3 linked regions of the Rattus norvegicus genome follow. The protein of the gene in region 1 interacts with the protein of each later gene in a pairwise test. Links are inferred from orthologs where the notes say so. Each region holds a gene or a part of one and is shown in the gene's direction. Other genes may lie near its edges.

What was found.
Region 2: the proteins of Ergic3 (region 1) and Apol2 interact in binary tests that used the Homo sapiens proteins (3 or more experiments, as listed by UniProt). The link is inferred for Rattus norvegicus from reciprocal best matches to the Homo sapiens genes ERGIC3 and APOL2.
Region 3: the proteins of Ergic3 (region 1) and Vamp5 interact in binary tests that used the Homo sapiens proteins (3 or more experiments, as listed by UniProt). The link is inferred for Rattus norvegicus from reciprocal best matches to the Homo sapiens genes ERGIC3 and VAMP5.

What each region holds. Positions count from the first base shown.
Region 1 is NC_086021.1:164,983,806-164,988,042, forward strand, and holds the start of Ergic3 (endoplasmic reticulum-Golgi intermediate compartment protein 3), read left to right. Parts: upstream 1-1,365; 5' UTR 1,366-1,411; coding exon 1,412-1,499; intron 1,500-1,634; coding exon 1,635-1,705; intron 1,706-1,822; coding exon 1,823-1,910; intron 1,911-2,091; coding exon 2,092-2,211; intron 2,212-3,468; coding exon 3,469-3,562; intron 3,563-4,198; coding exon 4,199-4,237. UniProt on the Homo sapiens protein: Possible role in transport between endoplasmic reticulum and Golgi. Positively regulates trafficking of the secretory proteins SERPINA1/alpha1-antitrypsin and HP/haptoglobin.
Region 2 is NC_086025.1:111,216,209-111,220,412, reverse strand, and holds the start of Apol2 (apolipoprotein L2), read left to right. Parts: upstream 1-1,317; 5' UTR 1,318-1,450; coding exon 1,451-1,577; exon of another isoform or gene 1,578-1,633; coding exon of another isoform or gene 1,634-1,697; intron 1,698-3,338; coding exon 3,339-3,419; intron 3,420-3,718; coding exon 3,719-3,845; intron 3,846-4,204.
Region 3 is NC_086022.1:105,990,361-105,994,732, reverse strand, and holds the start of Vamp5 (vesicle-associated membrane protein 5), read left to right. Parts: upstream 1-1,485; 5' UTR 1,486-1,598; coding exon 1,599-1,601; intron 1,602-4,372. UniProt on the Homo sapiens protein: May participate in trafficking events that are associated with myogenesis, such as myoblast fusion and/or GLUT4 trafficking.

The sequences.
Region 1 (4,237 bases):
CAAGATTTCTCCATCAATACCTCAGGGCTGGGGAAAGAGCTCAGCATGGTTAGGTACTTGCTGCTATCTCAGAGGACCCTGGTTCAGTTCCCAGCACACACACTTGGTGACTCACAACTGCCCATAAGTCCAGATTTAGGGGATCCAATGCCCTGCACTATCACCTGGTACATATAAATGCATGTAGATAAACATACATAAACATAAATATTAAATCTTCAAGACAAAAGCCTACCATGAGATGCTAACAGGCTGAGGCAGGAGTCTAGGAGTTCCCAGTCAGCCAGGGCAGCATAAAGAGACTATCTCAAAACAAAATCATTGAGCATTTTGTTTTTGTTACCACAGCTATCTTAAGCCATCTAGAGCCAGTGGGTTACAGCAGAAAGCAAATAAGGGTTTGCTGAATCTCTACAGCCTTGGCCTGGAGGGGTGGAGTCAGCGAACCGTGCAAGTTTTATTGACCCACACTGGGATTAGCACAGGGAAGCTTTTTGAGTTAAAAACCCAGGGTACCTTGAAGTCCAGAACTGGGTTCCACTATTGATCAGTTTGAGCTTGAAAAAAATTAAAATTAATCCCCACTCTTTTAAAAACGATTTATAGAATATATTTACATATTTGTGAGTGTGGCTATGGGCATACTATGGCACTCATATGGAGGTCAGAGGTCATTTTGCAAGAATCAGTTTTCTTCCACCATAAAGGTCCGGGGTATAGAACTCAAAATCGGCAGCAAGTGCCTTCATCTGCTGAGCCAACTCACCAGCCAGTTAATACCCACTTCCCCCTGCAGAGATTCTCATGCCTTAACCCCATTGGAAGCACCTCAGAGTCACTTTTGGATTTTCTGATGAGGGAACCAATTATTTACTTGGAACGGATTCCTTTTTTTTTTTTTTTTCTTTTTTCTTTTTTTCTTATGTAGTTTTTCGAGACAGGGTTTCTTTGTGTAACAGCCCTGGATGTCTTGGAAACTCTTTGTAACCCAGGCTGAACTCGAACTCACAGACTTGCATTTGAGTGCTGAGATTAAAGCTGTGTGCCCAACCCGGTTTGGAGCCAATTCTAATCAATGCTGTGACCCTACGTCAGGGTCATATTGGAAGCGCTGTCCAAAGAGATCCAAAGGTCCGAGGAGAAGCGCTTACCACAGGTGCTGTCACTCCGCACTCAAGCACCGCCCTCTGTGCTCCCGGCCCACCCCCTTTGGAGCACCGCCCAATCTGCGCCAGGGGGCGTGACAATGTTCGCAGGCTTGATAGCCTTTGAGAAGGCAAGTGAGGGGTGGAGCCCCACTTACGCACTGCTACGCCTGCGCAAGACAGCGAGGGGCGTGACCCCGACTTCGGGCCGGAAGCGGGAGGCTGGAGGGGCGGGCCGGCTGGTGTCCCCTTTCCGGCCGGTCCCCATGGAGGCGCTGGGGAAGCTGAAGCAGTTCGATGCCTACCCTAAGACTCTGGAGGACTTCCGGGTCAAGACCTGCGGGGGCGCCACGGGTAGGTCTCGGCACGGGCAGGGTTGCAAGGAGGGAGCTGTCCTCGCTTTTGGCCCGGGCTCCCGGACTCTCCCTGGCCTGTTAGGGGCTGAGGGGTGGGATGCAGGCCATGCCAAATCTCGCTCTCGCTCCGCAGTGACCATCGTGAGTGGCCTTCTCATGCTCCTGCTGTTCCTGTCTGAGTTGCAGTATTATCTCACCACCGAGGTGAGGGGCGTGGCCTGGAACGTGGGCGGGGCTTGACGTTCTAAGGGTAGGACCCTTAAAGGTGGGAGAGGGGAGGAGAGGAGTAGGGCTAATCTGACTGAGGTAGTCACGCTCTAGGTGCATCCTGAGCTCTACGTGGACAAGTCTCGGGGGGATAAACTGAAGATCAACATCGATGTTCTTTTCCCACACATGCCTTGTGCCTGTGAGTACCTGATTGTGAGTGGGAGTTGAACCCCTGGATGTACACCTCTGGCCTTAGATCCTGTAGTAGTTGCTAGGTCATCCTCATTCCCCAATCCAGTTCTTCCTCGAGATACATCTTTCCCATCACAGCTCTGCTCTCCAGGGCCCTGGAGTCATAGTTAGCTTACCTCTGTTAACAGACTTGAGCATCGATGCCATGGATGTGGCCGGGGAGCAGCAGCTGGATGTGGAGCACAACCTGTTCAAGAAACGACTGGACAAGGATGGCATCCCCGTGAGCTCAGAGGCTGAACGGCATGGTAACCAAGGGAGGAGGGGACAGGCCTCCAACCCTAGAGCTGGACATTCTTGCCCTGCCTTCCAGAAGCGGGCTGTTGCAGGCCCAGTGACACATCAGACAGAAGTCAGGTGGCTTGCCTAGGGTTCTACAGCTTGACTAAAAGTCAAGAGTCAGTTGAATCCATGCTTCATGGAGTAGAAGACCTTAGGGGCTGGAGAGGTGGCTCAGTGGGTAAGAGCAAAATGCTTTACTTGGTTACATTTCTCAAGCTTGAGCATGGGTCTTCCTTAGGAAAAAGCTGTTAGGTGTTCACTTGCTCAACTCATTGGCTAGAGCACTTTTCCCCACTGCAGTGCAGAAGAGTTTAAGTTCTCAAGGAGAATTGCCTGGGTTCGGATCTGGCATTGTTGGCGGTTTAAGAGCATTAGCTATAAACTGGTGGTAAGCAGTAGCAACCCATGCGTAAGCTGAAGGGTTGGATGCAGGGCAGACAGATGTCAGCTCACGGTGCTTTGACTTTGCGATGGTTTGAAAGCATGCCCGGCCCACCGTCCAGGTCTTCGCTTTCAGTAGAGGTATCAGTAGATTATTAGAGATCCCCAGTCCTTCGTTAGGAAAGAGTCACAGCAGATGGCCCTGCCCAGCGGTCTCTCGGCTAAGTATCCCGAGCACATTTAAGGCAGTGTACATTAAGCTCTAATGTTCCGTATCTTAGGTGTATTAAGTGCGTTCTAAAGTATCAGAACATGATATTTTACCAACAGTAGCCTCATCCCGAGTTGAGGATCAGTAATACATGGTCAGTGACATAACCCATATGTAACCTTTATAAAAGACCTGGTATGGAGTGCTACTCACTTGCGATTCCTATCCCATAGTTGCAGTCTGTTACCCTCAGCCCATCTCACTACGTGGCTCTGGCTGACCTAGAACCCACTCTGTAGACCAGGCATGGGACTCACAAATCCTCCTACCTCTGTCTCTCCAGTGCTGGGACGGAGGGCGTGTGCCACGACTCCAGCTCAGACCCAGTTTCAGGGTCTTCTGGGGATGAGATCAGACAACTTGGAGTTACCTGTACCAGCTGATACTTAGTATTTACGCTGTTTTCTAATTAATACTGAGTCTATGTGAAGGGCTTAACATCTGACTGTCATAGTTGTACAGATATTAGCTTCGGTTTTTCCCAGGGACTCATGTGGGAGGGAGGGAGCTGTGGCTGTGGATGTCCCTGTGTCTGCTTCATGATGAACTTTTGCCTCTGCCCTGCCCTTAGAGCTTGGGAAAGTCGAGGTGACAGTGTTTGACCCAGACTCCCTGGACCCCAATCGCTGTGAGAGCTGCTATGGTGCGGAATCAGAAGATATCAAGTGAGCCATGCCCTCGGGCACAAAGCGGGGTTTCACCAGGCTCTGTGGTTAGCCAGCCTCAGCCTTGTCCAGACTGTTGCATGGGGAGTTAGACCTGAGAGTTTTATCATTAATGATCCCGATGCAAGCAATGACAGTAAGCGGGCCCACTGACAGCTGCATCCCTGTGGGTAAGGTGGAATGGCTCTTGCTCTTCTGTCTAGAGAGTCATCCAGTCCTGTCTTCAGTCCGAGTCACATCACTTATCTATGTATTAATAAAGGATGATAATGACACCCTTCTTGCCAAAGTCACATAAGGATCAAGTGTATGTTGCATGTAAAGCCCTGACGTACAAGGCCAAAGCGACATTAGTAAGCCTCCAGTTTGTGCTAACCACTGTGTGATTTCCCAGCCCCAGCCTCAGCCCTTGAGAGACTGATGCAACAGGTCTAGAGAGATCTACTCTTAGAAAGAAGAGGGAGAAATTATAATAATGCTACACGTAGCGTAAAATTCGCCATTATATGTGCTTTTATGTGTACAGTTAATTGGCATTAAGGACATATACTACCTTCTGCAGTGGGCAGAATAGGTTCGGTGTTACTCCCCAGGGCACTGTGGCTGGGCTCTCAGCCCTTCGTGCCTTCCCGACAGGTGCTGTAACAGTTGTGAAGATGTGCGGGAAGCGTATCG
Region 2 (4,204 bases), on another chromosome or scaffold:
TGGATCACCTCACCCCTGACTCCTCATATCAGAAAGCAGGAGCTGTCCTGGGAGTCCAGATAGGCAAGGACATAAGGTGTGGGGACTAAGAGGGACACATTGCCAAACATTATCCCTAGAGCCATACCAGCTCTGTAATCCTAAGATCACTGGGTAGACCATGGGTTTGAGAGACTGAGTGCACAGAGGTGCAGACTAACTCACAGCCTTTTTTTATTTTAATTTTTATTTTATTTTATTTTATTTTTGAGACAGTGTCTCTCTAGAAATCCCAGTTCCCCTACATAGTCCAGTCTGGCTCTAAACCTTTTCATCCAAGCTTCCTGAGTGCTGGGGTTCTAGGTTTGTGCCACCAATGTGTCTTTTAAAGGTCACACTTAGTACTTCAGTCTCGGAGTAAATGGGGCAGCACTGATCTCCACTCTGCCCACCAGGAACCTGTGTTTTCTTTCTTTCTTTCTTCTTCCTTCTTTCTTTCTTTCTTTCTTTCTTTCTTTCTTTCTTTCTTTCTTTCTTTCTTCCTTCCTTCCTTCCTTCCTTCCTTCCTTCCTTCCTTTCTTTCTTTCTTTCTTTCTTTCTTTCTTTCTTTCTTTCTTTTTTCTTTTTCTTTTTTTGGGAGCTCGGGACCGAACCCAGGTCCTTGCGCTTGCTAGGCAAGTGCTCTACCACTGAGCTAAATCCCCAACCCCCAGAACCTGTGTTTTCAACTGATGGACACATCGTTTGTGCTGCTGACACCCCAAAGGCCACTGCCCACCTGTGGGATGGGGTTGGCGTCTCTACAGTGGGAGGAAGGTGCCACAGCCACTGTGGGGAGATGAAGGGTCAGGAAGAATAGAAGTGTCTCACTGTGGAGTGTGAAAAGTCTCACTAGAGGGTCAGTCACAGCAAAGACGTGGAGGTGTCACAGTCAGTGGGGCAGGATGCACTTGAAGGTGTATGATAGAATTGGATGGTTGGGAGGGAAGGAGGGAGGACAGAGGGGCTGCAGCAGGCTTGAGGCCTGGAGTTCTGGCTAGAGGGGCTTCAACATGACCCTGAAAGGTCATCAGGGACCCCTTAGAAGGAGCAAGCTGTCTTCACTTCCTCCCTCCCTACCCTGAGGATGCCCTGAGAAGGGGTGGGTCGGGCTTTGCTTGATTGCTGGAGCTCCAGCTGGGAAGAAGAGGGTTCCTATCAGGGCTGCACAGCTGGCCAGAAGCAGGGCGGGGTAGTCCTTCCTGGAACAGCCTTTCTATAAACCGAGTCACAGCCGCGTTAAGAGGTCCACTGTGCCCATATTAGCACCCGGCTACAGCAGCACGGGACCAGGTCAGTGCAAGGCTTTACTGAGGGGCCAAAGAATTGAGACTGGGGGCTTTCTTTGCATATGAACTTCTCTGCCTGGGGGTGGGGAGTGAGTAGTCACCACTAAGACAAGAATAACAGAGCAAGAAGATTTTATCTGCTTATGAAAGGACAGAATATTGATGAACCTTCTGAGAAGACATTGAGAAACTCTCCTCCTTGTTGCTCTTGCAGGAACTGGGGTTCTTGGTCCTGGCGGCTGGTAGGTGCCTTCCCAGAGCTCCAGAGAGGTGGGGAGAGCCAGACAAGTCTTGGTTAAGTTAACCCTGTGGTAGTTAACCCTGTAATGGAGTGCCTCGGTGTACCAAGTGTGCATGCAGAGCTGGGCAGGATTGGAAATGGCAGTGAAGGTCGGAAAGGGACAGGCACTTGAAAAGGCCACTTCATCTCATCTGGTGACTTGGGGGACATTTGCAGGCCTCTCTCTGTTTCTGTCAGGCCTTTTTATGCCTGAAAAATACCATCAGAACCAATTCTTTTTTTTTTTTTCTTTTTTTTTTTTCGGAGCTGGGGACCAAACCCAGGGCCTTGCGCTTGCTAGGCAAGCGCTCTACCGCTGAGCTAAATCCCCAACCCCCAGAACCAATTCTTTAAAGATTTATTTATTATATGTAAGTACACTGTAGCTGTCTTCAGATACACCAGAAGAGGGCATCGGATCCCATTACAGATGGTTGTGAGCCACCATGTGGTTGCTGGGATTTGAACTCAGGACCTCTGGAAGAGCAGTCAGTGCTCTTAACCACTGAGCCATCTCTCCAGCCCCAGAAACAATTCTTACTGATTGCCCACACCCACCATACCAGTGGGATGGAACTACTTTTAGCTTTCTGCTTAGGAAGTAAGCTAGTTTCTTTTTATTTTTTAAAATATTTTTTCTTTCTTTCTTTTTCTCTTTTTTTATTTGTTTTGTTTTTGTTTTTAGAAATAGAGTCTTACTGTGTAGCCCTGGCTGGTCCCCAATTTGTTATGTTGACCAGACTGGCTTTAAATTTAGAGATCCACTTGCCTCTGCTTCCAGAGTGCTGGGATTAAAGGCATGTGCCACCACACCAGCCTAGACTTATTTTTCAAGTGTGTGTGTGTGTGTGTGTGTGTGTGTGTGTGTGTGTGTGTGTGTGTGTGTTTGTGTATGTGTGTGTAAGCCAGAGGACAACTTGTGAGAGTGAACTCTGTCTTTCCACTATAAGGGTCTGGGATTGAACTCTGCTCATCAGCCTTAGCCACAAGCACCCTCACCTACTGTGCCATTTTACCAGACCTCTTGAGGAAGTAACCTGAAATGCAAAGTTCTATTAAAGGAGAATGTTCTTAGTGCTGTGACTTACATAAAGGATGGCTATGACCTGAGGTTCAATGGTTAGGGATGGTAGATGGGCAGCCCAGAGCAAGTACAAAAACAGAGACAGGGAGTGGCAGGCTTCTAGGCCCTGGTTAGATGCAGGATCCTGCAGAAGCAAGGAGTGTGAACTTGTCCCCTGGAGGGCACAGGCGTGGCTGTTGATGGGAAGCATCAGCAGCACACTGCACGGGAACAGGAGGATATATCCTGCTGGAGTGTTTAAGGGACCCAGGCTTAGTCAAGGGGGTCACGCCTCAGAACGGCTTGGGCTCACATGCTGGCTCTAACACTGGTATGCAGACTGGGGGTGTTAGCTAGCCTTGTAAACACCAGTTCTTATCATTAGTTCCCATGTGTTCCTACCCTCAGAGGGCTGCCAGAGCATTCCCCCTCTTCTTGCCTTCTGTATACAAAGTTAGTTACTTCCCACAGCTGCATCATCAGCTGATCCCAATGGGACAGGTGCCTTTGCCTGGGCTGGAATGGCAGATTTGGGATGGACAGTTAGATGACAAGCAGGTGTCTGCAGACGACAGGGAAGAGAAACACTTTGGGTAATGTCTGGTCCACGGCAGACACTGTGGAGGGAACAGTGGGCTACAGGGCTTAGGTGTTTGCCTTCTCTGTAGCTGATCCCCCTCTGTTGCAGTTTGTTTTCTCCTCCTTGCAGCTTGGGGCAGAGATCCTGCATTTGACACCATGGACCCTTCAGATGGCGAGGACTCTCCAGGTAGTTATTTATATTCCCCTGGCTTCTTCTTGCAGTGGCCTGGACCTCCATACCGAGTGTAGAGAAATTGAGGACAGCACAGGGGTGACCCAAGGGGGCATTATAGGTGTTCTCCCAACACCAGCTCTCCACAGGGGAGGTCTGTGTCTGGCCCTGTCCTTGGGGAGTACAGCGGGACTCACCTCCTTCCTAATCCCACCTCCTCGGGTGGGACTAGGGCAGCCTGGGAAGCCGGCTCAATGCTTAGCGTTACTCAAGCTCCTCCATTTGTCCTTCTACCTCCTCTCCTCTCCACCCAGCAAGCAGAACCTTCATTGAGGAAGCCACTGAGTATCTGCAGCACACGTCGGGCAGGGACGACCTGAAGCTGCTGCTGACTGAAGATGGAGCCTGGGAGGCCTTTGTGGCTGAGGCTGAGTTGTCCAGGTCACCTGCAGTTAAGGACTTCCCTCTTCCTGGCTTCTCGTCCCCTGCCTGTGGATGGTGCAGCCTTATTCACCTCGTGTCTTCCTCACCCAGTGCCCTTGTTCACACGGGTGGTGCTCTCCAAAGCACCTCCTGGATATACCCACAACTGTGCTTTGGGAATGTGCCCGTGTCTCTCAGTGAAACTGAGAGGCATCCGAAGGCTGGGCCACACACACACACACACACACACACACACACACACACACACACACACACACACACTGTCCTTAAGGCTGACCTGGGGTTTCTTACTTTCCTGGAGGTCAGAAATGACACCAAAGCCCCTTCTGCACACCATAGGGTAAAGACTGAACACT
Region 3 (4,372 bases), on another chromosome or scaffold:
GGTCCCCAGCTCCGAAAAAAAGAACCAAAAAAAAAAAAAAACTTCAGTCTTAATTACTTGTTCTTTAAATTGCTCTTATTTTATGTGTAAAGGTGTTTCCCCTGCATGTGTGACTGCGCACCACATGTGTGACAGGTGTCCTCAGAGGCCAGAACATGGCATCGGATCCCTTGGAGCTAGGGTTACAGGCTGTAATGAGCTGACATGGGGGGGGGGGGCTGGCAATTAAATCTCAGACCTCTGGGGGAGCATCCAGGGCTCTTAACTGCTGAGCCATTTCTGCAGTCTCACATTTTCGTCTTTGATTAAGCACATAAAACAGTATCGTATAATATATCCCTCTGTGAGCATTTTGTGAGATTCAGAGCACCGTGTATCCTTTATAGATCTTTAGACTTTCTGATTGCACCTTCTGCACAATTCTTTAAAAACAACCTCATTTTAACCTTGAAGTTGTCTGGAGGCTGGGATGGGCCAGTGAGATTAAGGGAAGGACTTCTCAGTTCCCAGTTCTGCAAGGAAAGCTGCAGTATCCTCAGCATCTCTTATTCAAAAACTCCATCTTCCTCGAATGTTAGAGGACCATCCAGTAAGGCTGGCATCAGAAATCTAAGAGAAAGTATGTGTTCTCAGGCTGGACAACCTCTGTTTGTTTCCCTTGTAGCAGCTTGCTCTCCAACTCTCTCCCAAACTCACTGTGGAACTCTTCGGGACACCTGTGTAGTTGTCTGTATTTTATTCTCGTACAGAAGGAATGGTCTCTGCTTGGGTACCACTTTGGAAGCTGGCTCAAATCTCCTCCTTTGCCTCTTCTGCCTCGATTGGTTCAAAGCTTGGCCTGGCTGCTGCTGTCACCTTTTATTTGGGGCTGGAGTCCATCCCAACAGCTTTAATGGCTTGTCCATCCACACACCATTGAGACTTTTAGCTCACAGAAACGCCGGCAGCAATTTTAGCGCTGAAAAAAATCTCCATCCCCTAATGTATGGAGATCAGAGGACAAATTGAGGAGTTGGTTCTTTCCACACTGTTAGTCCTAGGGACGGAACTCTATAATCATTAGGTTTGACATCACGTGACTTAAGTCATCTCATTGGCCCCTAGCTTATCATTTTTAAGTGTATAACTCGGTGACATAGAATGTACTACCTGCTCTGTCTGAAAACAATCAGAACTTTGGGGTGGTTGGTGTGCTTTTAATTTCGGGTGAGCAGCACTCACCAAGGTGGCAAACACTCCTCCTGGCTTGTTCATGTCATCTCCTGCACTTAGCACTCAAGCACTCACGAATGCTTTCCACATGATGGAATGACGGAACTCCTGTTGCAGCCCTCCAGATCCAAGAGACATCGTTCCCCAACCGGGCTGGGGTGTCATCGGAAGTCGGACGCCGGTGACCCGGTAGGAGGCGCCCCACCGGCCCTGTCACTACTTTCGGTTTGTCCGGGCCCGGCACCTCTGAGAAGGCGCGCCCCCCTCCCTCTTGGACCGCCGGTCCGCCCCGCCCCGCCGCTTCCTCTGCGGCCGCGGGCACTGAGGCAGCGCGAGGCAGAGGAGCCGGAGCCCGCGATCAGGCAGCGGCGGCAGCTGCGGAGGCGATGGTGAGATGGGAAGGGGCAGAGGGCGATTGTGCAGGGGCATAAAGCCAGAGCCGAACTCCAGGGGCGTGGGTCACGCTGACCACAAGAATCAGTCCCCAACTTTGCAGGCAGCCTGGGAGGGAGACTCCAGAGTGCGCCCCGTCGGGGCGGAGTGAGCGGAGCTGCAGCTTCTCACGCTCCTGAAGCAGTTATCAGCTCCGACAATACCGGGCAAGTCACTTAACCTCCACCAGTCTCCTTTTCCGCGCAGTGAAGTAGGGGCAGCAATACCTACCTTGGTGGGTCCTTGAGAGGTTAAAGTAGATGTTTATGGTCGCTGCTGCCAGGCACTCAGAACCCTTTGCTGAGAAGTGGTAGGTAATGTGATGACCTCTCCAGCAATTCCCCAGGCTAAGAGGAGCCAGAACTGGCCCAAGGGTTGGAAACCTGAGCACATGCCTGGTAGAGGCCCGGTGCTGAAGGATAAACACTTGCCCCGGGGAAAGAAAAAATAAGTTGTTTACTATAAAAGTTCCATGAAGTTATTAGAGGGACACAGGCTGACTTCTTCCTGACCTCTGCCTAGTAACATAATCATGAGTTGAGTCACCTACACTCTTGCTGCAGACTTGTCATTTCCAAAAGTGTCAGGGACCACTGGTGCCTGGATCCCACCTTCCAGGGCGCCTGGGAAGACGCCAGACTGGGAGCAAGTTTAGTACTGAATGGATGTGACCTGGCTAGAGGTGGCAATGCCTGGATGGCCTCATCTCTGGGGAACTGGAGGCAGGAAAGGGAAGTGTGGCAGGAAGGTAGCCCTGAGCTTTGAGGCCACACCAGGAAACTGAGGGAAGCTCTGAGAATGGCTGGAGCTGAGAGCCCACTTCCGAGAGTGCCGGGCAAGATGGGAGGAGGTACGGGATGGTCCATCAGCTGGCTTTAAGCTCTAGGGGAGAAGTTCTGGAAAGAAGGCTGAGCCAGGTTACGTTTATCTGGCTGTTCAGGAGACCCTTGGGATGTCTATAGGTACACTCCAGGCAAAGGGGGTTCAGAGCCTGGGGGGTGCATGCTTTATTCCTTCAGCCTGTCTCCGGCTCTATCATCTATCTTTTCTCCCCACCCCCGTCCCCTTTTCTGTCTCCAGCTCTTTCTTCCGTCATCCCACCCCTCTGACTACCATCTATACCCACCCCCACCCCCAATTTCCCTTCCCTTCCCTTCCCTTCTCTTCCCTGGGACTCATTCAGTCAAAAGGACTTTTTAAAATTAATATCCAGGGTTTTTTTTTTTTTTTTTTTTTTGTGCCCCTGGAGTAGGACAAAGCAGTGACGGGGGGATGGAAATCAGCAATCATCTTTTTTTGCAAATACTGTGGGCATGCTTGTTCACATGTATGGGCACATATGTGTTTAGGTATGTATGGGCACACATGTGTTTAGGTATGTGTAGGCACATACATGTGTAGGTATGTATGGAAGTCAGAGGTTGCTGTCAGGTGTCTTATTTAGCTGTTCTCCACTTTATTTTTGGAGATGGTTTCTGGTTCAACCTGGAGCTCACCAGTTTGTCTAGTCTAACTAGCTGACTTGTCCCCGGGATCAGCCCCCCCCCATTTCTGCCCCTGAGCCCCAGGCTTACAAGCAGACTGCCTGGCTTTCATGTGGCTGCTAGGGATTCAGACTCTGGTCCCCAAAAGCTTTAAAAGATTTTATTCATGTGTATGAATGTGTTTTCCCTGCATGTCCGTGTGTGTGTCCTGTGCCGGCAGTGCCTGTGGAGGCCAGAAGAGGGTGTTGGGTCACCTCCTACTGGAATTTCGGGTGGCTGTGAGCTACCAAGTGGGTGCTAGGAACCAAGATCTTCTAGAAAAGCAGCAAGTGGGGCTGGAGAGATGGCTCAGTGGTTAAGAGCACCGACTGCTCTTCCTGAGGTCCTGAGTTCAAATCCCAGCAACCACATGGTGGCTCACAACCATCTGTAATGAGATCTGATGCCCTCTTCTGGTGTGTCTGAAGGCAGCTACAGTGTACTCATACAATAAAATAAAATCTTAAAAAAAAAAAAAAAGAAAAGAAAAGCAGCAAGTGCTCTTAAATGCTAAGCCATCTCTCTAGCCCCACCGTAAATAACTAAAAAGTATTTAGCTTGCTTGTTTGCTTTTGGGGGGACATGGTCTCATGTAGATCAGATTGATGTGGAACTCGCTATGTAGCTGAGCCGCCATGTCTGAATGGAATTAACTTTTTTTTTTTTTTGAGGTAGTCTTGCTGTATAACCTGCCTTGAAGTTGCAGCAATGCTCCTGCCTCTGCCTTCCAGGTGCTAGTATTTGACACCATGTTCAGAAATAGAATAATATTTTTTTAGACAAGGTCCCGCTAGATACTCTATAGACCTGACTGGCCTCGAACTCTACCTACTGAGTACTGGGATTAAATAGGTCCATGACTACACTCAGCCTAAAATGGTTCTTGGAGTCATTCGTCTGGCAGAACTTGTGCATTTAGTCCCAGGCCTCTCTCCTTTGAACACAAGCTTAGTTGGCAGCATCAAGGGGCTAGTACTCCTTAGCCAATCATCAGGGGCATCAGACCTCACGCTTTCTGTGCGTCTGGTTTAGCACAGGGGTTAGACATGTGACCCTTGGTATCTCTGTCCATTCTACCCTCAGGTTGCCTACTTACCCTGGGCAACTTAACGCCCCTGGGCTGTTATGCAAGGACAATGATAATACTTTCTTCAGTGGGTTATTATGAAGGTTTAGCCAGACACCCACATGCACTGCCAGCTCAG